Caenorhabditis elegans: one gene and its partner. The protein of the gene in region 2 interacts with the protein of the main gene of each other region in a pairwise test. Each region holds a gene or a part of one and is shown on either strand. Other genes may lie near its edges. The genes, in order: T10C6.6 and cnk-1.

Region 1 (14,737 bases), on a different chromosome or scaffold from region 2:
CTTTAATACAAGTTTTATTTGTAAAAGATAACTAGCCGTAAACGTCTAACTTGGCCATGTCCTGATTCACACAACAAAACAAAAATATATGTTTTTTTTTAAATTTTTCTTTAAAAACTGAACTTCTCGGCAAAAAATGAATGAGCACTTTTCCTTTTGGATTTATAATTCCGAAATCAACAAAATTTTGGATTACCGACTAATAGTAAAACCAAAAAAATAATAATACATTTTCTTTCAGATCTTCTCCCTACCTCACGTGTGCATCACGAAGTGTGACTGGATTACTAGTAGCGTAATTATGGACATGCGTATCACTGGGAATCTCACTCGGCTCACACTTATGAACATCAAGTTCAAAGAGGAAGACGTGACTAAGATAATCAATCACTGGAGAAACGGAAACTGGGATAACTTGAAATTCATCGAGATTTGGAACAAAGTTCAACTCAATTCGGACTTTCTTAAGGGGGGCCTAACGTTTATGACACGAGATACAGAAAGAAGAGATCAGTTCCACATGTCAGTTTTCGAAATTATTTCCTATTTTAATTATGCATACTATTAGGCTGGGCTTTGCCTTTAGGCTTCTGCGTAGGCTTAGGCTCAAGCTTGGGTTTAGGCTTAGACTTTGTCTTAGGCTTAGGCCTCGTCTTAAGCTTAGGCTTAGGTATATGCTTAGACTTGGGCTTGGGCTTATGCTTAGGCTTAGGCTCCCTCTTAGGCTCAAGCTCGGGTTTAGGCTTAGGCTTTGTCTTAGGCTTAAGCTTGGGTTTAGTCTTAGGCTTTGGCTTAGTCTTAAGCTTAGGTTTGGGTTTAGGTTTAGGCTCAAACTGAAGCTTAAGGTTTTGAATCGGCTCAGAAATTGTCATATCATATCATATCATATCAGCAATATTACACAAAATTTGGAAGACTACCCATCATCACAGAATGGATGACAAATGGAATCTTTGGGAGAACAATCGGGGAGAGACGAAACGCAAAATTCCATTCCTATAAATAGGGCTTCCATGGTAGGCAGGCGCGGCTTCAGGGTTTGACGCCTGCCTGAAACCTGCTCGCCTCACGCCGGCCTCTTTTTTTTGCATATTTAAAGTGTGAGCTTATAAATTTCTAATTTTTTAATTTCTATAGATTCGATGAAAACGAAAAAAGTTCACCTATACGGATTGAGGCGAGAGGCAGGTCGCCTCAAGGTCAGGCAGGCAGGCGTTTCAACGCCTACATGGAAGCCTCACTGCTGAATTCAGCAAAATTCAATTGTACATATATTGATGTGTCTTTGAATTTTGTAGAGATACGGTAGCCCCATAACAAATCGTATTAATTTCTAAATGATTTTCCAAATGAAAACGTCCAAAGTCCTCGCAAGTCTAGAATCGATAATTTCCATAAAAACAACATCTTCCTCAAAAATGAAAAGAAATGTTCGCGCGCACGCTCTCCTCTTCCCAGGAGAACACATTGACCATGCCCTCTCCACTCAACCTCCTCCTCCAATCGAATTTGTCATTCTTTTCTACTCACTCAGTCCAACTGCGCAATGAGTTGCTGTAACTTCAATATACCGCCGTCTCCTCCTCGAGTACCGGTGGTATCACCGGTATCGGCCGCTTTACCGAAGTTCCCCAAGCTTCTGCAGCTAGACGCCAAATCCTTTGCCAACGTTCTCAAAATACTCGGCCCTGCTAAAGTGTGAGTTATTTTTTTTCTTGTATAAGAAATTCAGAAAGGAAATAATTTATTTAATTTTACAGATTTCAATTGTCCCAGTTATCGGAGAGAATACGCACGTTGATCAAGGATGCACGTATCACATTTGACCACGTTGCGGTTTGTTTTTCGTCAGACCATGGCTCAATATCTTTCCGCAATAATTGGCAAATGTCCCGTACTCATTTTCTATTTCGTACCAAAACCTGAAAATTTTGCGGGAACGCGTCTCGATCCGCTAAAGTTTGGAGATCGAGAAATCCAGTTGATAAGGTGAGTCAGCTCTTTTTTAACTTTAAAAAATCCAAATTTTCAGCTTCACCAAAAAAACTCGATTCAATTTCATCACTGACAGCTTTGATGCTTGTGTGGAACCTTGTCTTCAGTATTTCTCCGAAATTTTCCAATGTCGCGCTGGACTTGCTCAAGTCAAGTTGGGTTCTCAGTGCAAACCTCCGAAACTAATCGATTTCGCTAAGTACAAAATTTTCAACGATCGCCTCACGCTGAAGCTGACTGGAAACTTAAGTCGGTCTCACACGAACATGAGGAACTTGCTTGACGATTACGAACTTTTGGATGGAATCATCATTAATCTCCCTATCGACACAACTAAGTTCGATCTGAATGAGGTAAGCTGTCTAAAGTCTAGTCAAAAACGTCTTAGACCGCAATAACTGTGTTGGAGGCATTTCAAACTAGGGCTTGAAAAAGGACCAATTTGGCGGGGCGCTGTGACAGCCTGAGCGTCGGCGGCTGCGCAGTTTGGTTTGCGCCGCCGCCGGCGTCGGTACAGAGAGGATTGTGTAGTTCCGCTGGCGGCGCACGCTGTGTATGTGGTCAGATTAAGTGTTAAAAAATGCCTGATATATGATATTTTAGTTTGTAAGTTCTGAACCTGTTTCGTATTATCAGGCGCCGCCGCCGGCTGAAGCGTATACAATTTGCGCCGGCGAATTTCAATCCCTATTTCAAACTCGATTATTCATTTTTCGCTCTTCCAGATGTTCACCCTCCGCAACGTTTGCCTCATGAATGCTAATTGGATGACTCGTGCGTTCCTTCAGAGCGTGAATTTCACTCGTCTCACGCTTACCTACACTAACCTCACCGCGCTTGATGTCAACGCGTTCATCCAGCAGTGGACACTTGGAAAATGCAGCAATCTGAAAAGACTCGAGATTCTAAACAATGTTGCATTCAATGCGGATAATCTTAAAATCAACCTGAATCTTCAGCCATGGGATCGGGGAAACAGAAATCAATATTATATGTCAGTTTTTAGAGATTTTTTTTATTTACGCCAACCGCCGTGTACTATTTCCCGAATTGCTTCTAGTTTTAGGTGAAAGTTATAAATATAATATATTATAGAAAAAACACTGTAAACGGTGGTCTGCGTAAATCGACACGAATAACCGCGCCGCAGACTTGCAGAATGACGTCTCAGGGATCAAAATTTCTTAAGCTCATATTTTCAGAATGGACAACCAATTCAAACCATATCTCCTGGATCTGGAAAACGGCAAGGACATAGAAGGTGACGGAAAACTCGCCACCCTGTTCCATTCGGGTAAAAAAATTTTGTTCGTTGTCTGGAACCGGCGGCATTTTGATCGACCAATGCTAAGGGAATCTGAATATTTTTTTGATCCTTTCCACTACTAAACTATGTGTCGTCTATTATTATTCTATTTCAAAAAATGAACTAATTCTCTGTATAATTTGGTTCATATCAACAACATTGCACAAAAAAAGGTGGAAGACTACCCATCATCACAGGAAGGAAATTGAAGAAGGCAAATAGAATCTTTGGGGTGGAACAATCAATGGGAATCCGTATATCAACATGTACATAAACTTGGAATTAAAACTGTGAGGGGTGGAAGTGTTAGCGAGAATTATGTAAATCAATAAAATTAAACAAAATTAAGTTATCAGTCCTCGTGATCACCGGCTTCGTCATTGAGAAGCGGAGATTCTTCTCCACTGCGGAGCTTTCGAAGCGATTTCAGATCGATGATGCAGCGCTTGAGGATGGCTAGGATGGCGAATCCGTTCTGAAAATTAATTTAATTATTTTATGGAAGAAGAAAAATCGTAGCATACCAATAGCATGAACACATAGAACACAGCCTTCCATCCCAGGTCGTCCTGGATGATCGGAATGAGAAGCTGTCCAACAGCGGATCCTGCCGATCCAGTGCCATCCAACAATCCCGACACCGTGGACATCGCCTGTGTGTTCCCAGCTAGAGCAGGTTGTGATCCTAGATCGATTGAGATGGACCCAACGATCAAGTTGTACGGCCCAGAGACTGTAACTCCGACGGTGGTCATGACGACCGCATTCCAGAACATGTGCGGCCCGACGTGAGCGTAAAAGTACAGCGAGCCAATGGAGCACACGAGCATCGCGACGATGAGCGGAGATCGTTTTCCCATCTTGTCAGTAATGTATCCGCCGAGCACACTTCCAATAATGCCTCCAAAATCGTACCAAATGCTCAACTGATCCGCCTGCGACTCTTCCCAGTGATAGGCATCGGTCAAGTAGAGTGGAAGCCAGAAAAAGAAGGCGTAGTTGACGAGTTTCAGGCAGGCATTGCAGATGCAGTAGGCGAGCACGCCTGGCAGAAGAACGGCCTTGAAGAGGGATATTGGCTCACCGTGGAAGTTGTGATGGGGCTCGGAGCTGGAATTAAATAGAATAAATAATGAAGTTTTAACGCTTAAAATGGCTGTGAGAACGGACTCTTTTACTCGTGTACTCCACGAGGAAAATAGAAAAATCACACTTCTCCTCGAGGAGTACACGGTCAGTGTGAGGATTTCAATTGAAATTTGAAATTTCAAACGATAGTTTCGAAATCAGAGAGAAGTTGGCGGGCTCATGCATTTACGATTTTGAAACGTAAAAAATCCACACACGCACAAAACAAAAGAAACAGAACAACGAACGTTCGCGAATTTTCCCACCTGCTAGATCGTCGGAGAAGGCGAATCCTAGGAAAAGGAAAAATTTTGGTTTTTTGAAAAAAAAATCGTGTGTTTCTGTTAGATTTTTGTGGACTTGGCACGATTTCGTATTGTTTTTTTTTTCAAATTGCAAGCTTTGGAAGTGAAAAGATAGTTGCGTCGATTTACGCAGATCGTGTATTCCCCGAGGACGAGCTTGCATTTTTTTAAAGTAGAAGTCTTCGGCGGCAAAAACGCTCGATTTTGGATCATTGCCGTTGAATAAGAAGCGGTGTAACAGTCAAATTATCAACTTTTTGGAGATTTTCAGGTGAAAAGCTGTGTATTTACTGATTAAAAAACTTTAAAATTACATATTATGTAGTTTTTAGCAGAAATAATTATATTTTTCAAGAAGAAAAAGCGAAAATGTTAAAATTCAAGCATTTTTTGCCAAAAATTGTGTTATTTTCTGTGGTAAAAATTTGCATGTTTCTCCTCGAGGACTACACGAGCTGCGTAAATCGACACTTGGAGGTCTACACAAAATATTAGGGTGTTTACGACAGTACGAAATCGTGGCAAGACCTATTTCTTCTCAACTCTTACCTATTTGCCTCTACGCCATCCTCATGCTCTTCATTAGGCGATGAATCAATAGCCATGACGACTACAATTGCTCCGAGAGCAATGAGCACCGAATTGAACACAAAAGTGTACTGATAACCTAGTGGAAGCACCATCGCCGTGAAAATCGATCCGAAAATGTTGCCGACGGGCTGACACGCGGCCCAGACACCCATCACAAATCCGCGATTTCCTTTTCCGAACCAGTTGGCCATAATCGCGATTTCACTGGGCCATCCGCAGGCCTGAACAAGCCCAAACGCCACGTAGGTCATGATATAGTAGGGCGCATGGTAGAAATTGAACCATTTTGGGATGGCGCCGAAGAGAGTGAGCTGAAAATTGAATTTTAAACGAATTAGGAATTTAGAAGCCTAGCAGTTTGTACTCACCGTAACCGCAGAGCCAACCATTCCAGCTGCGACGACAAGCTTCGGATTCAGCCGATCGCCGAGCCAACCCCAAAAGAAGAGAGCCGCCGCGTAGGCCGCCATGAAAATCGCGTCGAGTGATCCCAAAAAGTGCTTGGCGTCGGCTTCATTGGTGAATAGTGGCGCGTGGCCGGACGAGTTGCTCAGCCAATCCGCTTTTATCGACGATTTCACTCCGGATAATGCTTTGCGACTCGCGTGGTACAGGCCGTAACTGAAATATTAAAAATTAAGGAAATTTTGAGAATTTGAGTATTTTAACTGTGCATAATTACGTATTGAGCGTGTAAAACAAGAATGGTTGGTGTTTTACGAAAAAAGTTGTTTTTTCTTTGAAGGCGAATGGATTTATTCGGCTGGGTCTCGCCAGGAAAATGACAACAGTATTTAATCTCGTTTTTTTCAATTTTGCGGCGGTCGTTTTTCTTATTTATCTATGAAATATTTGCTTTTCTCAGCAATTAAATAAAAAAATCAATTACATTGCTTGAAACCTGTTAAAATTGATGAAAACGAATTAAGGAGACAACCGGCGCTGGAAAACGAAAAAATGGTACCATAAACGTTCTTCTCGTGGCGAGACCCATCCGAATAAGCCCCTGTGCCTTTAAGTGGTTACGATTTTATTTTTATTGACTTTCTAGGATTTTTTCGAAGTTTTTCATGTTAAAATGCAAATATTTTTGTGGAAAAATTGTATTTTTGATACGAAAATCATCCGGTTTACTTGAAAATTACTTTAGAAATGTGAAAATCTTACCTGACAAACGTCACCACGAACACCATCACCTTCCGTGACGACATCGTCTGTACCATTTTGAAAAAAACTTGATTAATATTAAAATTGAGACTGCTCCGTATATATTGATAAGGTTGATAACTACTATTGATAAGGAAAAAGGACAAAAGTACTTGAAAAGTCGATACGGCCTACGAGCTCTGAAAGGGTACACACTACAAAATATCACGTTTATTGTTTTGTCGAGCCAGTGGCATATAATTGAGTGAAAATTGATGGAAAACAGTGAAAAATGGATGAATCATTAGACAAAAATCAATTATTTAATGTATTTGTCCATGAATTTCTTGTGGAATTCCGATCTGATAGCATCGTTGATGAATGTGACCTCCTTCTTTCTCTCCTCGACTCCTTTTGCACAATTCTTGAAGACCACGTCATCATCCCATCGTCGTTTCACAGTGAAATCGCCTCCAGAAGTGGAGGATCCGGCTGGAGTATCGTTGAGCAGTGGATTTCCGGCTAGAATATTCTCCATTCTTTGCTTCTCCTCCTTCTCCTTAATTTCCTCGTCTCTCGCCGCCTTCTCTTCTGCTCGTTCTTTCTTGATCTTCTCCAGCTCCGCCATCAACGCTGCAGTGTCATCCTCATCGGAGTCATCGTCGTCTGACGAATTCAGCTCGTCCACTGCTTCATCTGCATCCACAGACGCCGCTGACTCGGCAGCAATTTGATCCATTCGTTGGCGTTTCGAATGGCTTGAAGACGAAGAAGCAGAGTCACGAGCACGCTTCTCACGGATTGCGTTTCGCTCCTTGTCTTCCAATTCACGACGGAGATCCTGAAAATTATTTTATATTGCTTGAAAATCATTGATTTTTCGTTTACCTTCTTTCTCAAATCGGCTTCAGTCTCCTGTCCGGTCTGTCTGTACTTCATTTTGGTGTGAGATGGCATATCCTTCGACGAGTATTGATTCGAGAGCTTCGACAGATCTCCTTCACCACGAGCGGTTCCTCCGCGAGCTGGGTGAAAAGTTGGACGATGGGCCGTGGTCATTTTGCTGAAAAAATTACAATTTGTGAACGTTATTTCGAGAGAACAGAGGAAATATAAGATACTTTGTGCGAAAAGTAATAAATATGGAACGAAAATAAAATTTATGTTTGTTTAACTTGTTTGAATTTGAAATTTAAACTTTTTTTCCGGATCGGAACAAGAAATTGCTCGGAAGTATACAATTTTTCAATTTGAACGTAAAATAATCGTTTTTCTATTGCAATTTTTCATACAAACATGTGCAAGTTTAGTAATTTACATGAAAAACCATTAAAAAAGTAGAAAAAAACATTATTCTTATTTAAATCTATCGGAATTCGAAATTAAACCTTTGTCCCGATCTTCAGTGCTTTTAGCCTCAAAATTAACAATTTTGACACAGATTCTTCAGTAAAAAGTTTGCATAAACGATGTTTCACTTTTCAATTAACGAAAAAACAAGTAGAAAATGATAGAAAACGACGAGAAACTTTAAAAACATCGGGAAAAATTTATAAATTGATTTTCGCCAAATGGCCTAGCGGCGTCACTTAGTCCGCGGCCACGCGGCCACCACCACATTTCGGCGCGAGTTTTGAATATGAGTTTTCGCCAATTTGGTTTCGGGTGGAAATCGAATTTTAAACACACTTTCAGGGAATTTTCAAAAGAGAAACAAATAAAAAACGTTTATCTAACAAATTTTTAATAAAAATTGATTATTTATGAAGTCCTACTCAACACAACTGTCAAATTCTGTGATGCTCCTTCTCGGCGAATCAAACGAATAATCCATCGGCGATATTCTGCATTGAAAAAACATATTACTATTCTGAAAACTGAAAAATTGATATTGCTCGTGAAATATAGCACTAACGGTGCTAGGCAATTAGTTAAAGAAGACGAGACCGTAGTTGTCATAAAAATTTTCCAATCCAGCCTGTTGCCAGGCAAAAACGAATAACCGGAAACATACCAAACACCAAAAAACACCATAACAATTCCCTGAATTATCACCTAAAACAAGGAATTTGAATTTATTTTGCAAGAGCTCGTTTACAGCGCACCTGCATCGCAAAATTGATATCGCGTTGTTTATTCTCTTTACTTTGCCCTTTAAATATCGATTTTCGACAAGTGATAAGAATGATAAACGTGGAAATATCCAGAATTGTGATAATAAAGATAATCACGAACTGAACAGATAGGCTTAACAGTAGAAGTTTTGCTCCACATGTCTGGAAATGCTCAATCAAAATCACGCTCGGGGTCCTGTCACGCTTCAGCTACCGTAACCAATTTTTTGCCGTGTCGAGACCATTTGCACCAAGTACTGTAGCCGAAAAGTTTCGCTCGTGGCAAGACCCCGAAATCTCACCTCATTCCGCTGAGCTTCCATGAAAACCCACCCAAATTGGAAAAACGGGAAGGAACAATTATAAAAGAAGAAAAAATACGAATAAATTACGGGGGGAAGTGTCCAATTTATGATGATGTAAGTGAGTACGTAATTTTTGCTGAAAAACGTAATCTCCTCAGGCGACCTACGCCTACCGTGAGCCTACCAAGCAGGCAGGTAGGCATCCTATAAACATACCTAAAGATTTTTCTGTATCCAAATGGCATACTTGAAGCACAAAACCTGTTGAAAGCCATCAGAAAGTGGGTGCCCAGCATAATTGGCAAAATTGTCAGGGATATATTTCCGAAAATTGCAGAATTACTGACAATTAATATTGTGTTTCTAGAATGTTTCAATACGGTTGGAGATTATTTAGTGCGCAAAAAAAGTATAAACTAACAAAAAAATTCCTACGAAAAAGAAGAAAAATGTGATGGAAGTTGCCGCAAACTGGGAAAATGTTTCATTTAAAATTAGGGCTCCAAATACGGTACCCTTCATGTTCTTGATATTATATGCGCCGGTGACAACGACAGATTGAACAGAGACTCCGATGAAGCCGACCTGAAAATTAGAAATTTGTTAACTTTCTGCCAAAATTTGAGAATTTTTAGTCGAAGTTTGGAAATTTTCTGAAAATCTTTGGAAGATACGTATCTGCAGAACTTTGACAATGTTCTGCCAAACGTTTAAAATTGTTGCCAAACCTTGAAAAATGTTTGCCAAATTTTGGAAATGTTCTATAGAACTTTGTCTATTTGTTGGCAAACTTAAGAAACTTTTGTCCAGACTTTGACTATTTTCTCAGTCAAACTTTAACAATTTCCGATAAAACTTTGGAAATTTTCAACCAAAGTTTGGACATTTCTGTCAAACTTTAAAATGTTTTATTTCAAGTATTGGCAATTTTCTGTTAAATTTTGGATAATCCCTTTAGAACTTTGACTACCTTCTGTTACTTCTTGCAAAATATCGTCCCAGGCTTTGGAAAAACTTAGACATTTTTTACCGAACTTCAAAAAATTTCTGCCCAGAATTGAATCTATAAAAGTGAGATTTTGAAATTCCTCGAAAGGTACGTGACGCCACTGACTACAAACTACGAATGCTACACATTAGTAGCATAAGCTCTTATCTCTTTATTCATTGTACTGATAATAACTACTTTCAATATACTTCCTAAAAAGATTGTTCTTTAGAAAATGCCAAAAAAAGTTGCTCACCAAACTAATAATCATTCCGGCTTTAGTGTCATCTGGCCCAAACACATAATCTTCGTCGGCTTCAGTGAAATATGAGTCGTTTCGAAATGTTGTTCTGAAACATTTAAAAGCTAAAGGTTCACATTTTCAAAGGAAAAAAGACACTGCTGGAAATATTGCCATCTGAAGAACATCAAAATCTATGAAGGAACTTCCAAACTTCAAACATGCAATATTGTTTTAACATTTCCAAAAAGCCCAACTTTTCTCAAAATTGGCAAATTACCAAAACTTTGATTGAATTTTTTTTTAATTTTCAAATGTTTTTGGAGTATTCAGTTTTCATATTCATTAATATTAGACTAAAAAACAAAATTATTAAAACTTGATCAACTTACACCATAATCCAGTTTCGTGACGCTTCGCCTTGAAATACTTCCGTTGACTACCCAAAAATTGATTTTTTAACATGATTTTTTTGTGCTGTCAAGCAGGTGTTTTTGAAGTTTCTCAAAATAATTATAGACTTCTGGCTACAGACTCCGCCCTTTTTGAATTATGAGACTGCAATCCCGACATTACAGCTGTCGCTAACAATTAGTAGGTGTTCAAAAAGTTTGAGCTCGGAGAGAAGAGTGGTTTGATCTTATGTATAGACAAGTTTTTTGTTTTATTGAATAAATTAGTTGGAATGCCAAAAAAAAATAATTGAAAAATTTATACAGGATCTTTCAGAAAGAAATACGAGCAAATTACGGGGGAAGTGTCCAATTTATAATGACGTTAGTGAGCGAATAATATTTAGATATAATCCATATGTTTTCAACACCTATAGGTGCAGAAAAAGGGTTCGAGAGAATGTACTATACGACAGTTTGGGGTTCAGTTGGAGTTATTAGAACAGGAAGATTATGTATTATGAGCGGAAACCACTGTCACGATTCTCTTCTGAGCTGTCGGGACGTTGAAATTACGGAAAAGCCATCTGCGAAACTCTTTGTTGAAGGCGAAGACGACTACACTGAAAATAAATTATGAGGACCAAACTGAAAACTTGGCACATTTTTTCGATTCTTGCTGAAGTTTTCTCCTCTTCGAGCTTGTACGCAGCTAAAATGCCACCTTCACATCTCTGTGGACGCACCAAGCCTTGAGGAAAACCTACGCCTATACTGCAGCCGGTAGATTTCCAGACAACGTAGGCGTAGGTTGCCTTCCAGACAAGTTTTTCCTCTAGATCGGAGTCTAACTCCCCTTATGACGTGGAAGAGCATTGAATCAAAAATGTGTGACTAAAAGAATCCAGGTGATTTTACATTAGACTGGGATGCTTATCAGAGTTGGAATAGTGCAATTCTCACCGCTGTTGAGGATTTTTACATAGATTTGAATTAAGGAAATTTAACAGTGGTGAATTTTACGTTCGAAAACGCCTTTTTGCATCTCCGAACGCTAGTGAAGCATAATTTTCAGCACTTACGGATCAAAAACATGTAGCAGATTGGATGAGAACGAAGTTGTAAAGAAGAACTTCCAGCGGTCGTCGTTTCCCGGGAGGATCGCGTGACCCATATCATACCATGCACCATGACACAGAAATACTGCACCTTGAATTATGACCTGGAAATTTTAGATTTTGAACTTGAAAGTTCCTGCGAATTTCCAACCTGTCCAGAAAAGCTCAGCTCACGTCTTCGCACCTCGACACTATGGCTCTGGTATACCTTGCTCTGAAAATTTATTCTTATTTTTCAAATTACTGCTAAATCTCACTCTAAAAGCCATCAAAGCAACCAAAGTGACTACATCCAGGCCGACAATTGTGATGCTTAGAACCGTCTGAATCGAGATCGAATAGAGGCTCAGCAGAGTCCCACACTTTACTGAAACGGAGCCAGCAAACAACCATCCGAAATGGTAGAATACGAAGTTGCATTCTCCTGGAAAAATAGGATGAAATGGAGTTGGGATTACATTTTTAGGTTCCACTTACGTACTACAACTAAATAGCTGCCTGCTACGAGCGATAGAAGCCAGTTGAAAACGATAAAAGTTCTGATCATGGAGCTTCTAAAAACCAAAAATTACTATTATTATTTCACAAATACCAAAAACTAACGAGAACAAATTCTGATATCTCAATGGGAAAAAGCAGGCGCAGAATCTATTAAACGACATTAGCAAGAAGCTAATCAAAATCACAGGGAGCAGGAAGATGCTGAAATTTCCGAAGAGGTAACTGATAGATAGCACGGGCTTGATGTTCAGGAGCACGCCTAATGTCGAGAAGCTTCCGCTATTGATACACGCCATCAGCTGAGCACAATTTTGATTGATCATGAGAATTCCGAACGGGGACTTGAGAGCTGCTATACGGAAGCATCCGATAATGACTGCCACGAGTAGGAAGAGGCCGGTGAGGCATTCCTGAAGAAAGGTGAACTTTCGATAGAAGTTTTGAAGATAGTTTTTTGGGCACGATTGGTCTCACTACGATGGGTCTCACCGAGATGAATCGGCACACTGATAATTGAGTCAGTTTTTGAGAAGCTGTACTTGAGGTGCCAAAAAATGTGACTCCTATCTTCAGCGAGGATCATTAATAATTTTGATAAAATCAATAATTATTCCTGTTTCTTGGTTTTTTGTGATTTTTTGTGAATTTCTTATCTTTTCTTATTATTGAAATACAAATTTTATTGACTTACCATTGAAACTACCATCCCTGCCAGCGCGTCATCACTTGAGTACACGAAGGTTTGATCGTAAATCGCCATCGCAGTCAGATTTCGGAGCACCATTGTCTAAACACTTTTGAGCTGAAGTTGAATACGACAAGGAGAGAAAAATCTGAAATGAAAAATAGATGAATGTGTACACATAGTCACTATTAGTAGTGGATTCCCATTGGGACCCGTTTGATGAAAGTACCAACCAGTGAGTCACGAGAAAGATCACGTTGGAACTGGTTTTCATAACATCACATAATGCTTTTGTTTCGATGGGGTAAGATCTAACGATTTTTCAAGTTAGGCAGGCACACGCTCATGTGCCTATCTTATGCCTGCCTCTGCCTAGGGAGCCATTTTTGTGCATTTTTGCATTTACTAATGTTTGCTGTTCGTACAGTTTTGATGTTCAAACTCTTGTATTTTGTAGTTTTTCGTCATACGCATCATTTTGACCGTAGGCTTAAAACTGGGTACCTGCCTGCCTACTTGTCTTCTGCCTGCAATTCCTACAAACAACTCTATACGTCAGGTTAAACTCCTACAATAATGCTTCAAAAATGAAATGTAAAACAAGCAAATACCCGAGTTAAGCTCCCACGGCAGAAAATAGGCGGCAGGCAGGCACAAAATAGGCACTCTAAAAACATGGAGACAAAGATGTTTAGAAGCCAATCTAGTCTTGAAATGTCTAGTATAGTGGAAGTGATTAACTGGAACTAAATATTGAAACGAAAAGTGAGTCTCATATTAGATTACAAAATGATCGAAAATACATCACGTTGTCAAAATAGCTATATCTCTCTGCGGCGGGTCATACTTTTATGCTCATTAGATGGTAAAATCGTATAGGTTTGTCTAGGCACAAAACGTGCCTAATTAGTCATAGACTAGTTGAAATTAATTACGAAAAATGTATTATCTGATCACCTCCCTAAGGTATTCTCAATTAGAGTGTGTGCCCACGTAAATCAAGCTCTTCACAACTGTACGAATTGAAAAATTGATAAAATGTACTTTTTTTTTAAGTAGAAATGTTTGGATACGAATCAAAAATCGTTTCAGGATGTGAACTTTGGGATTAACATCGCTAATGACCAAATGAGGGATCACAAATCACACATGATTTCAATTTAAAAATAACTTTTTTAAAGCTCCCAGTGATAAATATTAGCTTATTTTGTAGATCTCGTAGTAAGCCTGCTGTCAAAAATAGAACCAAAATTGCAATTATCAATGGAGCGCGACTCCTGGCACATTTAATTTCAAACTAATTAAGCCTTCAAATCTCAAAATTGAGTAGCAAAAATGAAAAAAAAAATGAACCAGGAAAACTTGTAGGGTAGATAGAACAAAAAAGCGTTCCTCTTGTTTTTTTTTCAAAAAGAACAGTTCTAATTTTACGTATAAGCCAGCAGTCTGCAATTAAACTTTTGAGCCCAGACCGTAGGTATGAGTTATGTTATTCGTAAATATATATTTTTTAGATTTTGGGTAAAATTTTATATCCAATTTTTTTCCAGTCGTGAATCATATTGAATTGAGCTGTGTTGCACTCACGGAAGGAGCTCCATAGTTGGTAGTCTTTGTAAAAAAAATCTGAAAACTGAAAAACTATCTTTTGAAGGGATGAGGATATAGGGTTACTGTGGTGGTATTGTATGATTACTGTAGTTGTAACAAAAACATTTCAGTTCTAACACACTCAGACAACCCGTTTGGGGATCTAATTAGAAAAAAATAGGTAATCTAACGTGTCCCAATTAGAAATGCCTATTTTCTAATTAGAAATGCCCTTTTCTAATTAGAAGTGCTTCTTTTCTAATTAGACCCCCAACGTGGTTGTCTGAGACAGGGGTGTGCGGCAAATCTCAAAATTTGCGGAGTTTGGCCAA
Region 2 (17,300 bases):
TAATTTTTTTTGTAAATTCAGGAAATTCAAAAATGTATAATCTCAAAGCAGACTCCACTAAAGGGAAAGAGCCTATCTTACTCCGAAAACAAAGAGGACGAAAAAAAGTACCTGATCAATTATAGCAATTTGTCCATCATTAAGCTTCTGTGTGTCAGTAAATCTGTAAACTTCCAACTCTCCATTCAACAGAGCTTTGAGCTCATCGACTTCTTGATCCGGAGCATCTGTAGCTAGATAGATCTTTTGTAGATCAAGCTTCTTGCACAGATCTTGCAGAATCTTTGCGGTCCCAGGAATTGTTGGGAGCTGTGCACGCCGAGCATACAGGAAATCTCTTCGCCTCCAGTGAATTCCGAGATATGGTCCTCCGATTGCAGTTCTTCTTGGCTTTTCTTTAGTCCAGTCATCAACTAACTTGGTTTTGTCTCTTTTGTCGTCAGAGTCCAAGTACTTTTTTCTTAAATTTTTTGTTTTAATTTTAACTAATTTTTATTATGGTAGCCTAGAGCCTAGAAACCATATCGAAAGGTATTATAGAGATAAATTAATCTACTTAAAATTGGCAACAGATTGCAAAAAAAAAACAACTGTTTCTAGTTTCGTTCAGAATTAAGCTATGGCAGCCGACATTTCACGGGTTTTTTTGAGAACACGACTCGTGGTATGTCGGCTGCAATAGCTTGATGTTAAGCTAGAAAAATATGTGAAAAATGAAAACGTAGATAAACTTTAAATTTGATTGTTTTCAAGTTAACCACATTTTGACAACTTTATGTTGCTATAACTTTTTCTAAAGTACATATAAAAATTTTCTGTAGATCAATATGCCAGTTTAAAATTAAAGTTCCCACCTAAACGCGTCAGCAACATCCACAAGATCATTGGAATATCTCATACTCCTTCTCGCCTTCCAGTAATCAACTTCTCCATAATGTTCATGAAGGATTGTCTCTGCTCGATCTACCATAATCGACGTAGATTCAGAAAAATTCGAGTGCTTCAGAAGATCTTTCAGCGTTCCAGAGTCGCCTTGAATCGAAACACATTGGAAATTTCTAGAATACACGTCTTCGTAAGAGTAGAACCAGCCTTTCCTGTGAAATAAGGGACACGTTAAATTGAAGAGAAAAATTAATATAGAAAAACTAACCATTTGAACTCTTCCACCTGTTTATAATGTGATTCCGCTGGTGGAAGGCAGCTCCGTTTCTCGAATTTTCGAACATATTCAGTTCCCCAGCCCTCTGCATAATGTTGCAGGTAGATTACTTGATCGATCGGACGATTTTCTGTTTCTGAAAAAAATAATTTAAATTCTTCAATAGTCTTGGCGAGCCGTCTCTTTTTTTCCGGAGTTTAAAAAATATATGTATTGCAATTACGCTTCACGAATCCAGCCTCCGTAAATCGCCACATGGCAGAGGATTTTTAAAACTCTTCCACCTTGATAATACAAATCTTGGAAATCTAGGCCATCTCCGCACTCACCGTCAAGAAAATCCTCAAACTCAATAACCGGAATAAACCGATTCAAACTCTCCAAATCGAAAAAAAGACGCCACGAAAGCGCCACCTCCATTCGTTTCCAGTGATGAAGCCGTCCCCATGGAGGCAACACGAGAATATAATTTTCTCCAGAGTCTCGCAACGATCTTACTGTATTCGCAACCCGCATATATACATCTCTTCGTAAATTGAAACCCTCTCCGAAGTTTACATCGTAAAGTAGGAATTTCTTCTCGGCGGCAACCGAATACCGGTTCGAGTCCACCCGAGACACGGTCTGATCAGAATTTTCAGCAAATGCAATTTTTTCAGCAAAAAATAATACCAGTAATTGAATTGGAAAGAAATGCATCTGGAAAATCGAGAGATTTTGAGGAACTTAAAATTCTGAAATTTAGAATTCTTAGAGGGGCAACGTTCTGTAATGTGCTAAAAGATTACAAAATTAGCTTGAATATACGTCGATTGAATTATATATATATATGTATATGAGATTTTACTTTATAGTCAATGAATCTTTAGCGTTTCAGAATCTCCGATATCTAACATCCCTAGGAGCGAGAGGTCTCAATTTCAAAATTTTCAAAGAACAGTTAAAAAAAACAAATTTATATAAGAATTGTGGTTTTCGAGTAGAGAGTTATAGTTGAACACGAGAAAATCAAATTTCGCAGGGAATCTGGCTGTGCGATAGAGCGGAAATGCTAGGCTCGTGGCAGAACCCATCATGCGCCTTCAAACTGTTTTTCCCCAGATTTTCCAACAAAAAAAACGTTTTTTTTTCAGCAGAAAATTTACATTTGAAAGAAACGTTTGGAAAACTATTCAACAACAAAAAAATCGAGATATTTTCAGGAACTTGCCGATTCAGTGAGTATTCGGAAAAATGTGCAATTTTTGTGAGTGAGCGAGAATTTATTATATATACTTATATATATATTTTCAAGAAATAAAGTAGAAAAATCAATAAATGAGACAACGAGTATTCAAAGGGAGGATATGGGGCGATGGGCGGTGCTGAATAGATATTTCGGTTCGCGCAACGAGACTCTGATATTGATAGGTGGCCGTGGATAGAAAAAACTCGGCCACCAACTTTTTTTCCGGCCAAAAATTGTGGAATATCGGAGCATCGTTACGAAAACCGAAATTTCTGATTTTCTCGCTATAAAATGGGTTGCGGTGAAGTTTTGTGACAAGGATTTTTTTGTTTGTGTGGGACTAGAGTGTGAAACTGAAGAAATGAAAATCGAGATGTTCGGGACGAGGAGAGGATCATTTTGTGTGTGTGTGTGTGTGCGGGGTTTACAGTTTACAGGGGAAAATAGAAAATAACACGTGGCCGAGGAAAAAGCTCTTCCACCAAAAACACGTTGGTGGCCTAGGATGTGAATTTTTAGGCCACTAAAATTGAAAGTCTGAAAATTTACAGATGGGACATGAATATTCACAGGAGAAGGAGGGTGATGGAGGGAAAAATTAGAAAATTCGTAAATTATTTTTGCTTAAAACCGCCGCCGCCGAGACCTCCCGACTTTGAGGTCGTCATTCCATTTGTGGTTACACGTGGCAATGTGCTCAAGCCACTGCCCGTCTGTTGTCCGAGGAAGAAATTCTGGTCGGACAAGTCATTGTTGTAACTGGAGACCGCTGAAAATTCTGGAAGATTTGGAAGAAGTCATGCCCATATTTTGACTCTTGGTTTCAAAAACTTTTTAATCCCCCTACACATTTTTCGGTCGTGATCTACTTACACTGTGACATAATCCTTGGCTGCGTGCCAGCATTGGCAAAAATCTCTTTAGCCATCTTCATTTTTTGTGTCCAACTGAAAAATTGCATATTTTAAATCGTGACAAGACCCAAAGCTAGTGTCCCACCACGAAAGCCTACAGTAACCCTGAGGTTTTCGTGGCGAGACCCAGTCCAGTCATAATTATACTCAAATTGAAGCTCTCGGCAAGCTGAATATGAATATACTAATGAAAATGTCGAAATCTCCAAGTTTCAAATGAATTTGACGAAATAAAGCTCACTTCCTCCAGTCCAAAGCGGTGAAACATGAAAAATGATAGTCGAGCGGAGCAGCAGTGATGCGGAATATGCTGAAAATTACATTTTTAGGAAATATGTGTAGCTTTCACTAGTTTTCTATATCTGAATTAAATTATTGAGAGTTCCATGAGAGAAACTGAATTTGCGCGTCAAATATGGCGCATTGGGTCCGCGCGCCTTTTGCAATAAAAATACGGTACTCGGTCTCCCCACGCGAAATATCTCGTGGCGAAAACTACAGTAATTCTTTAAATGACTACTGTAGTTTCGATTTACGGGCTTGACTTTCGAAATGATATTTTCAAATTTCTTGCAAACTTTTAATATTTTTTCGATAAATAAATAATTTATTTTATTGAAATAAAATTAAAATTATGCAAGAAATGAGAAAATATCATTTCGAAAGTTAAGCCCGACACTACAGTAGTCTTTTAAATAATTACTGTAGTTTTCGTTACGAAATATTTTGCGCGTCAAATATGTTGCGCAATACGCAATCTCAGGATTTGTGCTATTTTAACACACGTGGTGTCAGAATGTCCCATGTCGGTTTGATCTACGTAGATCAACAAAAAAAACGGGAGTTTGAGACACCGACTTCTGAACTGATTTTGCTGACGTCACATTTTTTTGGGCGAAAAATTCCCGCATTTTTTGTAGATCAAACCGTGATTGGACAGCCTGACACCACGTATTAATAAAAATCTTAGAAAAAAACACATTTTTCGCGTTTTTTTTCGTACTTTTTCTTGGAAGTCTTCAAATCTGTCGAATCCGAAATAGTGGCCTTAATCAGATTGATAACCATTTCAGGCCGTTTCGTATTCTGATTTGTGTACAGCAAAAGATAATGTCCACGTAGACACATCCATATTTTCGGCCATTTATTCGTCAGCTCATTCGCATTCAGTTCCGCCCGTGTTTTCCGCCTCCGCACCCATCCTTCAAACAGTTTCTCCATTCCTGCGTAGGCGGCTGATATTGGTGAGCCCGGTAGATCGTCGGGGTTCGGTGACCACTCGGTTTGACTCGTCGACATTTGAAATTTCCCGAATGGCGCCGGACTGCTCACACTGTTCATTGATGACGTGGATGGGGATGGGAGTACGCCGAACGCTGATTCTTCCACTGATGACGTCATTCGGCTGGAATTTCAGGGTTTTTACTGTTTTTTGCTGTAAAAATGTAAAATTTCTTTATTTTTACCTAGAAACTGGCAATAATCTCGGCGAATCCAGACTAAATCCGGAAATATTCGAATCACCGACAGCTCGGAAACTTGGAGCCGCAAACTCTTGGTATGGAGCCTTCCAATCTTCGTCTGAAACTCGTGCTTCCGGTAAATTTAGAACTTTCAGTTCTTCTTTGTCGACTTCTTTAATTTGAGCAAACTCGTTGGGACCTGGAAATTAGAAATTTGGATATTGAGATCGTACTAATGGAAATATTCAATTTGAGTATAAACATGACTAGGTTTCACTATTTAGGGTCTCGTTCCGAATACCTTGGGGGTACTGTAGGCTAAACTAGCGAACTAAATTCAGAGCTGTCGATCTAATTTCTTTGAAATCTGAAAATAATCAAAATTTTTAAAAACGTGGTATTTCGCCACAATATACAAAAAATTCGGGGTCTCGACAAGAATTTTGAAGCGAAAAATTGTCGAGTTTCGGAAAAATCTCAAAAAAATTTTTTTTATTCATTTTAAGCTTTTCTATTTTCAGATTAGGGAAACTATTAATTTGGCCTAACTAGACTTCGAATACTGTAGGTCCCGTCACGAAAAACCTACAGTACCCCGAGATTTTCGTGGCGGGACCCAATTTTGCTTTGACTATAGTCGACTTAAGGCTTAATGATTCAAAAAATTAATTTAATTTTTTTTTTCAATTTTTTAAACGAATTTGATAGCGTTCCGTGTAAAAAACTGTTGATGATCGAAAAATTTTGTTAAATTTTGCCATTTTTCTTCTTTTTTTTTTAATTTCAAAATTTTTTAAATTCAAATTAGCAGAAAATTGTATGAATTCTTATGTATTTTTTTCTGGTCAAAACATTTTTTCATTTTTGTTTCAGATTTTGGCTGGCCATACTCAAATTGCAGTCCTTCCGTGCACAAATTTGATGCCAAAAAATGTATTTCTCTAAAAACTTACACTTGACATTAAAAGTCAACTGATCATTGACGACATCATCCTCAATATCAGTAACAAGCTTATTATCAATAAAGCTTCGAACATAACCATCCGGTTGATGACGCATTGTTCTTGTTCTTTTAGCAATTCTTGGAACTAATGCTTCTTCTTCTCCATCTACATTTCGAATAAATTCATGAACATCCCAATCATCTTCATCATCTCCGTCTAGAGCTCGTTCGTCTATATTTTTTCGTTCTTTTCTCGGACACGCAGAGGCTATGGAGGAACGGCGGATTAGGCGGCGACTTATTCGGCTGGAAATATTTTTTTTTTAATTTTTTCAGAATGAAAATATTGCTCTTCTAGAAAATTGATTTTATTTTGAAATTTCAAAAAAAAAAGAAAAAAAACATTAATTTTTTTTCAAATTTGGAGTGAAAAAAGGAAAATTCCGAAAATTCCCAATTTTAAACTTCAAAAATAAAATTTTAATTTAAAAAAAATTAGCAAATCCAATTTTTGTCTTTAAAAATTTTTTTTAATTTTTTTGTTCAAAATTTTGGAAATTTGTTGAAAAAAAATTCTCACATTTTTCTCTCATTTTCCTTAATAATTTCCGAAATCACATGACAACTTCGATGCCTTTTCAATGGTTCAGATTGTCCAAATGGATCATAATCATCTGTTGAATAGGTCTTCGCCGTCTGACTCGACGGAGCAAGAGCTCGAGCCGCCAGCTTCGATTGTTTCGGTAGTTGAGGCTCTCGGGGACGGCGTTTCACGATAAGTGAGAGCTCCAGGACATCCAGAGCTCCAACTTGTTGAACAACACTCGTCAAATCCCATCCAACAACAGTTCGTCCATTGATCATTAGAATTTCATCGCCTGCGTCGATTTTTGTACACGCGTCTGCTGGGGATCCTTCTTTGATTTCACTAATTACATGGACACCACGGTATGAGGATTGAATGTTGAGACCCTGCAAATTGAGATGGGATTGAGGACTCGATCGTTCCAGGTTTTTCCTCAAGAAAATTGAAAATACTGGAAAAAAATATTTTAACAAAATCAAAATTCTGAAAATAAAAATTAAAAAAAAAATTTAAAATTAATTCAGGTTTTCCAAGTTAAAAAATGTTTTTAATATGAAACAAATCGGAAAAATCAACTTATTTCTGCTTTCCGTGTTTGTTTTTCGAAAAAAAAATCGGAAAAATAATTATTTCGATTTATGCTCAACTTTCTGGTTTTTCCTCAAGAAAATGAGAAAATGTTGGAAAAATTCTTCGATCTCTTCGCGAGCGTGAATAAATAAATAAATTTCATTTTTGAATAATTGAAAAAATCAAAAAAAATTTTTTTTTGATGAATTCCAGGATTTTTCCATTTTTTTGTTGTAAAAAACCTACCCAATTAATATTATCAGATCTTCGGCGAAGTAGAGCAGATTCGATAAAACACGCGTACAGGATCAACGGATCATCACAGTCGACAATTTTCTGGCATTCATAGGCCAGCTCTTTTGACATCTGGAAATAAATTTTTTTGTAGTTTAATTTTATTTAAAAAATTTTTAATTCAAGAACGACTGAAAAAATTTCAATTTTTTTAAATTGTAATTCAGTTAACTATAATTTGTTAATTTTTTGCAATAATTTCTAACTTGTGATTTTCAAAAAAAAAACAGTTTTTTTCATATTTAAAGCCATCAGAATTAAAAAAATTACATTTTTTATAAAACATTTTGAGGAAAACAAAACGGATTTTTTTTTTGAGAAAAATTAAACTTTAAAAAATAATAATTCGCTTTTATTGTCTGGAAAATTGATTTTTAATTCAAAAAAAATTATATCGTATCCTGTAATTTTTTTTTCCAATAAAATAAATAATTAATTGTAGAAATTAATTTCTAATTACTTTAAAATGTTCTTAATTAGAAAATGGATGTTTTCTCAATTTTGAAAAAAAAATCCAATTTTTTTGCAGAAAAATCAATTTAAAAAATTTAAGAATCATAGATATTGTCTGAAGAATTAATTTTTTTAAATTACATTTTTCTGGCAAAAATCTGATTTTTTTTTAAATTGAAAAATTTTAAATCCGACATTTTCTGAAACTTTTGAAGCTGATTATTTTTCGATTTCAAGTTTTTTAATAAATATTTTTAATTATTTGAGAAATATTCATTGAAATCTTCAGAAACTGTCTGATTTGAAAAAAAACTTTTCAAATTTTTTTAAAATTCAAATTTTCAGTCAAAATATCCCATCGATAACCTAAAAATCCTCACCCTAACAATTTGACTTCCAGTCTCAAACAAAGCTTTCGGTTGTACATTAACATTTCTCAATAGGTTCCACATAAAAGAAGAAACACTATTTCTAACGTTAATAAATTCGGGTTCCTCGTCAAACGGAGTCCGATCAAGCCAAAAAACGAATCGTTTCGTGTGCTCGGCGAGCTGTAACACTGCATTTGACACACTATTCAGAATATTCACAATTTCCGATCGACGGATCGCTTTCTCCCGCATTCGCATCGCTGACGTCATCGTGCGTTCTACGTAGAGACACGAGGTTTTTACTTGTTGAGCCAGGCGTTGGAGATTCTCGTGTTCCGATTCGTGACACTGAAAATGAAAATAATTTTTAAAAATCAACAAAATTTCTGATAAAAAATCTTGAAAAATTAGACTTTCAGAGTTTTTTCTTGATGTTCAGGAGATTAGTACAAAGCAAGTTTTGAATTTTTCTGCGAAAAATCCAAAATTAGGCGGTAGGCAGGCAGGAATGCCTACTTTGGTTTTTTTTTCCAGAGTAGACAGAAAATCATTAAAACATCTTTGAAAAAATTGCGGAGAAGTTAGTAAAATTCAAAATCTCTTAAAAATCATTAAATTTTTAAAAAATCGACTGAAAATCCTAGAAAACTTATAATTTTTTACCATTTTTCATGATTTTTAGCAGCTTTTTCTGCACAAAATGTTTAGTTCCGATGGAAGTTTTTTCTCACTAAATAGTGGTTTTCTCCGAAAAGACACTTTTTTTCAAAAAAAAATCTTAAAAACTTCAAAAATTTGCGGAAAAGTTAGAATCTCTTCTGAACTTTGTGGAGCTTTACAGCTGATTTTTAGAATTGGTTGAAAATTCAGCAAAAACTGCTGAAAATTCTATTTCGAAAAAAATCCATTTTCCTGTTGAAAACTCCATCTTACAAAGTAGAGAAGCAACGAAACAGCCTGAAAAATCGTTTTCCTAGCTCCGAGAGCCGAAATGCCAATTTTTTTGAGCGAATCGTCGTCGAGAGCCTCCAATTGTTTTCCGCTTTTTATATTGTCACGAATCATGCCCAAATATGGATTCATTTGATCGCCAAGTCCTGGAAATTATTAATTTTTCAGTGAATATTTTTTTCCGCGGCGATAAAAACCTTCAATCCATCTTGCAATTTCTTTTCCTTTCCACTGCTCAACACATCGGGCAAACGAGAGTTGGGGCTCGTAGCTGGCGGAGAGCATCGGACTTCCCGAACGGAGACCGGATGACACTGAAATTTAAATTTAAATATTTTAATGAAGAAATCTGTTTTTTTTTCAGTTTTTGTGGATTTTTAAATCAGAAACCGTCCAATTTCGCTGGAAATAGCTTCATTTTCGTTTAAATATGTAAGGTTTTCTGGAAATATCGCCAATTTAATTGAAGAATCAATAATTTTTGTGGATTTTCCCAATTAAAAGTTTCGCAAAAATCAATTTTTTACCTGTTTCTGGTGAATTATGTTTTAAGCTAAGGTGCCGGGTTAGTGAGGACATTAAAGTCCTTGAAAAACAATTTTTCGAACAAATTAGTTTCTTCCCCGGCTACAGTATCCACGGTTACTGTAGCCGAGAAACTGTGCCCACCTGAACTAATCCCAGAGGAGATTCCCAACGCCTGTTTGGCTTCAAGTGGTGTCGACGGAAATCCCATTGTGGTTGAGAACATATTCAAAAATTCGGAACAATCACAACATTATGCTAGTTTGGCTGCAGCTGTAAGAATCCAGAATTTCCCAAATTAATTGTAAAAATTGAGGAAAAAGTGCAGAAGGTTGCATAAAATCAACAATTTCTTTTTTTAACTGAAAACAAACACTAAAATTGATTGATTTTTCGCGAAAAAGTTATGAAAATAAATGAAAAATCAAGTACAGTACTAATTAAAAACAAAAATTCCAAGAAAAAAGGAGCATTGCTCAATTTATCGAGCGGGTCCTATGGAGAACTCGGCGTACTCCTCTCGGAGGAGACGTGGCCTAGAATTCTCCTCGTCCCTGTCGATTTACGATGTGACACGGCCTCCACCACGAGAAATGCGCAGAGAGAGCGCAGAGAAAAAGGCGGTCTCTGCGTCTCTCACCTCCACAACATGGCGAGAGTGCGCGCTCAACCACCTCACTTAGAACGAGTCGGGAAGAAAGGAAATTGCATATTTCTGAAAAGAAACAATTGGAACGGATAAAGAGTACTGTCCTCTACAGTCTGGCATAAATTTCACAGAATAGTTTTGTCATTGAAATAAGTGAAGAGAGTGAACATAATATTACACATTCCCCTCTAAAACGAGCAAGTTTAAGATTTTTTCCCAAATTTTTTTTGTAAAATGTATTCAATATATTCCCAATTAATGAGTTAATACAAAAAAACCCCAATAAATAAGTTATGAGAGAAACTTTTTTTGACATCAAACATTTACAGCTCAAAATTTCAGCACTTTCCGGAAGATAGTGACCGTAAAATGAAAGATTTCAAAAATCGGAAACAATACGATTGTTCTAATTTTTAATACGCACATTTTAACATATCACACATAAAAATCCGTCAATGTTGAAAGATGTTATTTGATCTAGAAGGTTGACTACAGTACTAAAATGACCAAATTTTCAGGAAATAGTTGGCTTGGACTCAAAAATCGGAAACAATACGATTGTTCTAATTTTTAATACGCACATTTTGACATATCACACATAAAAATCCGTCAATGTTGAAAGATGTTATTTGATGTAGAAGGTTGGGTGCTTTGATACAGTAGTACCCACTCTACTGCGCCCTCACACTTTGGATGCTCCTATCTCCGCTCCTATGAAAGTTACAAAAAAGTTGTCAACTAACAAAATGTTCAGTGTGACATTGTGAACATTTTTTCTGTTGACAATATTTTTCTAACTAGTAAGACAAATTTTTTACAGGCCCCGAAAGCCGTATTTATGAGAAAATCAGAGATCAGTTCATAACTCAAAAAATAAAGACATTAGAAGAAAGTAGTCAACTACAAATTTGTTAGATATCTTATATAGAGTATGTTTCCGATAAAAAACTCAATTTTAATGTTCAGGATTTTTTGACATGGCCAGTTTAAGATGATCAATTTTCAAAAGTCAAAATCTATTATTTTTGTAGATAGAAATGTAGTTTTTGCTGGTAAATGTTGTTTTTTATCTGCTTAACATTTTCTCAGTTGAACATATTTTTGTATCTTCAGCGAGAACAGAGATTTGATGGTTTTAAGAGAGGGTACTGTAACTGGGACTTCATTCATCAAATCATAGCTATATCTTTTTAGTGGAACGAGATATCAAAAAATTGTCAACTAAAGAAATGTTCACCTATTTGTGATGTTCATTTTGTCAGTTCACCGCTAGTTTCTATCTCCAACGCGAAAAAAGTTGTAGTTCAAAGTCCATAAAGTACATACACTTCACCACGAGAAGAGCGAGAATCAGCCCGAAGCCACAGTCGTACATATTTTCTTTATTTAAGCCGTTCAAATACACTCATCGTACCATATTTAATAATTTTCAATCTAAAAAAGTGCTCTTCTGTCCAGAATTTTTCTAATTCCATCTAATTCTTGCTAAAAACCACTGAAAAACAGCTCGTATTAACTATTTTTGTAATTTCCGATTTTCCACGTTATTAATTTTCACTATTTCTGTGAAAAAAAATCTGCCTTCCCTTCTACATTAAATCCCAATGTTGCAAGGTTGTCCATTTTTGTCGAAAAAATAAAAGTAGGGCAACTTTTCGACACATGATGTCCAAAAAACATGTAATGGTACTTTGAGAGTTTATAGCTCAGCGGGGAGTGGCCCGAAAATTTTGATTTTTGTTTCTCCCCCTTTCAAAAATCTGTCCCAGTATGGTCATCAAAACGGGGTTGCACAATTTTGCTCCGGGAGCCCACGGGAGTCGGAAAACTGAAGCTACTTCATTTTGGTGGATGTGTTAGTACTGGCAAAAAACCACTTTTAATTGATGCAAAATTCGAGTTTTTCTTGGATCTTTTCAAAACTTGACACATAGTTAGGCCTGACGGAGCCCGATTTTTTGAGCCATAATTCAAAATATTTGACCTACTTTCGAAAATGTAGGCCATCATTAAAGTTTTCGAAAAACTAAAAAGATGAACATTTATTTAATCGACGTGAAAAACTGCCTTGCCTCTCTCTCTCTCTCTTGGTTCGCTCATTGATGTGAGTTGGATTATTTTCATTTCTTAAACATTTTTATTTAATTTTTTTATACAAAAAATTTTTTTTTCCAAAATTACCCATGTTTTCCAAATCAGGCCACATCTTGCGCTCTTTGAGCTGCCTCAAGCTGTTTATAATTAGAAGTTGTTGACTTTTTTCACAAATTTTCCAGTTTCAGATCATGCATATCGGCTTGAGGGCCGCAGGGGAAAACACATAGAAAAGACTCAGAAATTATATTATCTTCAAATGATCGTAACTCAGTCAATTTTAGTCCAAAATGTTCCAAATTTTTCCCAGTTTACCAACTTAACCTACTGCGAAGCCTAGCGCACTGCGTGCGCTAGTCTGCCTCTTCCTATATTAAATCCGGAAATTGCATTCTTGACAGAAATAAAAAAATAAGGGCAACTTTTCGACACGTGAGTGTCCGACAAAAATGTACAAACTTTGAGCTTTAATAACTTGGCTCATAGCTGGCGCTTTTGCATTCACTAAGTGCGAATGACTCAAGAATAGTTGCCCCACCATGGTCATTATTGAGGGGATTGGTTTTGGGAAGGGTAGAACACTGATTTGCGCGGGTTTCTGGAGACCGCGAAATTTGAATATTTTCTTTGTACTGAAGAGCTTTATGTTTTTCAGTCCCAAACGTGCAGTTTTTGTGTCAGTTGATTCCAATTTGTGCGCAAGAGAGAACTTTGTATTACCAATTTTTGAAACTATTTTAAAAAAAAATTGGTCCATTTTCCAAAATGTAGGCCATCATTCAAATTTAGCAAAATTAAAAAGATGGATTAAACGTGAAAAACTTTTCTATCACTCTCTCTCTCTCTCTATTTTTGTGGATGAATTCGATAATTTTCATTTCTTATTTTTATAACGTGAGGAGAATTTAATTTTAAAGATTTTTTGAGATTTTTACTTTTTCTCTAATCCTATGGAGGACCGCACTTCTCGGACATTTTGGTCACTTTAAACCTCACTTCCAGCAGGGCAGGCTGGAGGGCTGCAATGCTATTGTTTTTCACTCAAACCCAAAAAATCCTTCTTACTCTTAGAAATTTTAGACCTTTTCTATCCCTACTCCCAGCAGAGCAGGCTGGAGGCCTTCTATGAGACGTATGTTTCCATAACTACGTCTGTTTTTGGAAAGGTCAGGTAATCCGGATTGAGGGCCGCAGGCCCGAATACACAAAAGTATTGGACAGCCATCAAGCCTATTCTGAGCCCAATAAACCCGAGTTGAGGGCCGCATGCCCGAATACACGAAGAAGTGTTGGAGATCCGTCAAGCCTATTTTTAGCTAAATAATTCAGGTTCAAGGCCACAGGCCCGAATACACATAGAAGCGTTGGACAACTGTTAAGCCTATTTTGGGCCCAATAATTCACAATGCGGGCCGCAGGCCCGAATACATGTAGAAACAGTGGGGAACCGTTAAGTGCGATTTGAAAAGTGAAGATTTTTATTTATAAAATTATTATTAAACTAAATTTGGCCGGTCTTGACAAACTTCTGCACATTTACTTGACATTTACTCAACACTTGGCTAAATATTAATAAAGCGAATTTTTCTTGAGTTACTCTACGCCGAACCAAACTGCGAAGCCTAGCAAATCTCCGATTTGCTAGTCGAAATTTCGTTCAAAAATAGCGATTCTGGCTCAATTTCATGAATATCTGCTGAAAGCGGCGGCGAGGCAAGGTGGCCGTCCGCAAACGCGCAAACAAAAAGCGAGAGAGTGTGCGCATTTCTCGTGGTGGAGGCCGTGATTTGTATTTCGTGATTTTTCGTGATTTTTTCTGATTTTTCTAATTTTTCTGCTTCAAAGTTGCTGAATTTTTAAATTTTTCATTCAAAATTAATTTTTTCTTTCAAAATTATCGATTTTTCAGGGCAAAAAATGGACGAAGACAACGCAAACGAGATATTCAAAGCGTTCAACAAACAAAATATCGAGTACGATCTATCGGGTACCGCCACCGTTTGTTATAAATCAAAAACCTATTCAGCGAAGGTAAATGTCAATTCTCATAAATCAACGTCGCTTTTTTCTCAGATCCTTCTCCATGGCAACGTGTTGTGCGTCGAAGAGTCCGGTGGAGCTGTCACTTCTGCCTGTGTTCCACTTATATTCCTGCTAGAGCGAGTTGTTTTGAAGAAACTCGAGGAGAATGTACGATTTGTTTGTTGGGTGGCAGAGGAGACTTTTTATCAGAAAATTTCTTGAATTTTCCTGTTTTTCTTTTAAAAAAAACTATTTTTAACGACTTTTGGAGCAAATTCTCTGCAATTCCTCAATTTAAATCACAATTTTTGCAGTCAGATACCGCAAAATTCACATTTCTTCTCACATTCACGGATCCGGCAGAGAATTTGGAAATATCTGTGGAAAGTGAAGAATTACGAGAGCAGTGGATGATAAAGGTAGGCTTAGGCTTAAGCTTAGGCTTTAAAAAAATGTTGTTTGAAATTTGAAAAAAAGCCAGAAAGCTATGTATTTTCTTACCATTTTTTCTAGATTTTTCTGAAAAAAAATCGAAAATTCTGCGATGACGTCTCGAATTGCAGTTTTTCATTTAAAAAAATCTGAATTCTCGAATTTTCAATTAAAAAAATTTCCAAAAAATCATAAAACTTCCAGCTCGCCACGTGCTCACACCAAATGGCCCGCGCCGAGCTCGACGAGCTTGCCTACAAATTCTACACAATGTCACCGTCGGCAAGCAGTGGCGGCGATTCGGACGGAGTAATCGACCCGAAAACCTCTGCTTTTCAGAATTTCTACCTCTCGGCGCCACTCAGAATTGCTCATAATTTTGCAATCTCCCAACAGAATAACTTACCTGCACGGCGGGTTATTGTAGAGGAATGCATGTGGGAAACCAAGTTATCAATCATTTTACCCAAGGAAATTATCAAATTGAATAGGAAAAAGATTTCAGAGTATGTGAAATTGTAGATTTTGGTATTAAAATGGGAATTTCAACTGAAAAATTAACTTTTCTACACAGAAAATCTACCAAAATATGCAAAAAAAAACAATTTTCAAAATTTTAAGACATTTTTCTACTGTTTTTATTTCTTTCAAATTAAATAAAATCACAGAAATTAAAAATTTAATTATTGGTATCAAAAAACGAAAAATAAACTTTTTTTTTCAGATTTTCCGGATTATTGGAAAGTCGGCTGAAAACGTGGCCTCAATCTTCGATACCAGGACTACATGAAGTAATACGACAGCTACGTGGAATGTCAGAGACCTATGAGCAATGTTTTGAATTTGTTGACGCGTATTCTGTAAGGATCCACGCAACAAAAATGCCAAAAAAAATATTAGAAAAAATCCAGAAAAATCTTTAAAAAAAAGGAATTTTTTACAATAAAAAACATCAAAAAAGTTGAATTTTACGATTTTTGGTAAGAAAAAAAAACGAAAAACTAACATTTTAGACTTATTTGTAATTTTTTCAATTTTTTTTACAGTTTTCAGTTCTTTTTTTTTAAGCTGAAAAAATGTTTTTAAACTGGTTCTCAGTTTTTTACAAAAAAAATTTTTTAATGATTTTTTTTCCAATTTTTTGATTCTATTTCAGAAGAATAGTCGGGAGACCTAGATTTTTGACTAATTTCTAATTTGTTTTCCAATATCAAAAAATTTAGAAAAATACTAAAATCCAAAATAAAACGCTTTTAAAAAATTTGGTGTTTTTTTTTCAAAAAATTAAATCGCAATTAAAACAAATTATTTGCCAATAATTTCAGGGTCCAAATTTCCGGAAATCAGTAGAAAAGACGCGGGTAGCGTTTGGTCTCGTGCCCACCAATCTACATATTCATTCCTACGAGATTAATTCCAGTGATAAACGGGATTTTATCACTGCTGGCTCAGCTTCTGCAATTCCTTATCGTTATCATGTGAGTTTTTTTTAACGGTAAAAATTATGCAATATTTTATTAAAATAAAAAAAAAATTTATTAGAATAAACCCATTTTCAGAACGGCGGAATTCTGAAACTCTATTCGCAACTCGACGTTCCATCCTACAATTTTGACTATACATTCTGGAAGAAACGACAAGCACTGCTTGATCTCAAAAAAACGATAGGAGAACTAAGTCATAAAATTGAAAAAGAGTGGAAAATCGCGAAATTCGGAAGTCCCGACAAGATATGTCTACAGGTTCACGCAGGAATTAAGCAAGTGTACGAAGGCCTGAAAGATGTGCTCATAAGTCTTCCAGACGTTGAACGGTGCTCTGAGCTTCTGCTGGAAGAGGAGAAGCGGAGGGAAGAGTCTGGAGCCAAGGTAGATAAGATTTTTAAGAATTTTGGAGTTTTTTTCGGAAATTTCTCAAAGAAAAACTTTGAAATTCAGATAAAAATTTAAAAAAAAAACGGTTTCTGTTTTAAAATTAAAATTGGAATAAAAATTCAGAAATGCACAAATTTTTGTTGAAACAAACATGACGCATCGATATAAACTATACCCTTTTTTAGTATTTCGAAGAAAAAAAAATCAAAAAACTAAGCTTTTATACTGAAAACTTCAAATAAACACAAGTCTATAGGAAAAAGAAACATGGTGCATCGATATAAACAATTTTTTCAGTGAAAATTATTATTAAAAAAATCGAAAAACTGGATTTTTGAAAGAAGAAATCGCATAAAATATAGAGTGAATTAAAGAAATTCCCAAAAATTGTGCAAAGTTGTGCAAAAAATTTCGAAAAAGCACAATTTTAGTTGACAAAAAAAACATGATATCGATATAAACAATTTCCTATTTATTGAAGTTTTTCAATGAGAAAAATTTAAATTTGAAAAAAAAACCAAAAATCACAGATAAACTTAGTACCATACTCAAAAAGCTAGAATAAAATTTTTAAAATTGAGAATTCGCTGCAAGACTCAAAAACAAATTATATTTTTTTTTTGAAATTTAAATTTTTCTCATAAAGGAATTAATTTTAAAAATCAGCAAAACTTTCCTAAAAACTTTAGAACAACACATTTTTGTTCGAAAAAAACATGATGCATCGATCGAAACACACCTAAATTCCAGATGCCCGAGACACGAGTCT

The links.
Region 1: the proteins of cnk-1 (region 2) and T10C6.6 interact in a two-hybrid assay, tested with the Caenorhabditis elegans proteins (one large-scale study listed by BioGRID).

The regions. Positions count from the first base shown.
Region 1 is NC_003283.11:16,016,148-16,030,884, reverse strand, and holds T10C6.6 (Major facilitator superfamily (MFS) profile domain-containing protein), read right to left. Parts: upstream 6,549-14,737; coding exon 6,493-6,548; intron 5,947-6,492; coding exon 5,694-5,946; intron 5,637-5,693; coding exon 5,284-5,636; intron 4,723-5,283; coding exon 4,696-4,722; intron 4,412-4,695; coding exon 3,826-4,411; intron 3,777-3,825; coding exon 3,654-3,776; downstream 1-3,653. Other genes in the region: T10C6.7 (F-box domain-containing protein), read left to right, coding at 242-522, 1,535-1,550; cwc-15 (Spliceosome-associated protein CWC15 homolog), read right to left, coding at 6,791-7,312, 7,360-7,530; srx-44 (7TM GPCR serpentine receptor class x (Srx) domain-containing protein), read right to left, coding at 8,233-8,341, 8,387-8,526, 8,577-8,747, 8,888-9,026, 9,107-9,253, 9,312-9,475, 10,135-10,228, 10,512-10,516; srx-43 (Serpentine receptor class X-43), read right to left, coding at 11,023-11,134, 11,594-11,733, 11,781-11,843, 11,887-12,053, 12,107-12,183, 12,233-12,540, 12,822-12,914.
Region 2 is NC_003281.10:10,263,690-10,280,989, reverse strand, and holds cnk-1 (Connector enhancer of kinase suppressor of ras), read right to left. Parts: upstream 9,734-17,300; 5' UTR 9,687-9,733; coding exon 9,605-9,686; intron 9,558-9,604; exon of another isoform or gene 9,515-9,557; coding exon of another isoform or gene 9,463-9,514; intron 9,250-9,462; coding exon 9,133-9,249; intron 9,082-9,132; coding exon 8,918-9,081; intron 8,333-8,917; coding exon 7,994-8,332; intron 7,233-7,993; coding exon 7,113-7,232; intron 6,683-7,112; coding exon 6,291-6,682; intron 6,017-6,290; coding exon 5,721-6,016; intron 4,967-5,720; coding exon 4,771-4,966; intron 4,710-4,770; coding exon 4,308-4,709; intron 3,615-4,307; coding exon 3,546-3,614; intron 3,338-3,545; coding exon 3,264-3,337; intron 3,160-3,263; coding exon 3,005-3,159; 3' UTR 2,410-3,004; downstream 1-2,409. Other genes in the region: pad-2 (GDP-fucose protein O-fucosyltransferase 2), read right to left, coding at 112-460, 855-1,097, 1,154-1,298, 1,492-1,861; inpp-4B (PH domain-containing protein), read left to right, coding at 14,121-14,234, 14,277-14,393, 14,540-14,644, 14,862-15,163, 15,382-15,517, 15,983-16,135, 16,217-16,525, 17,282-17,300.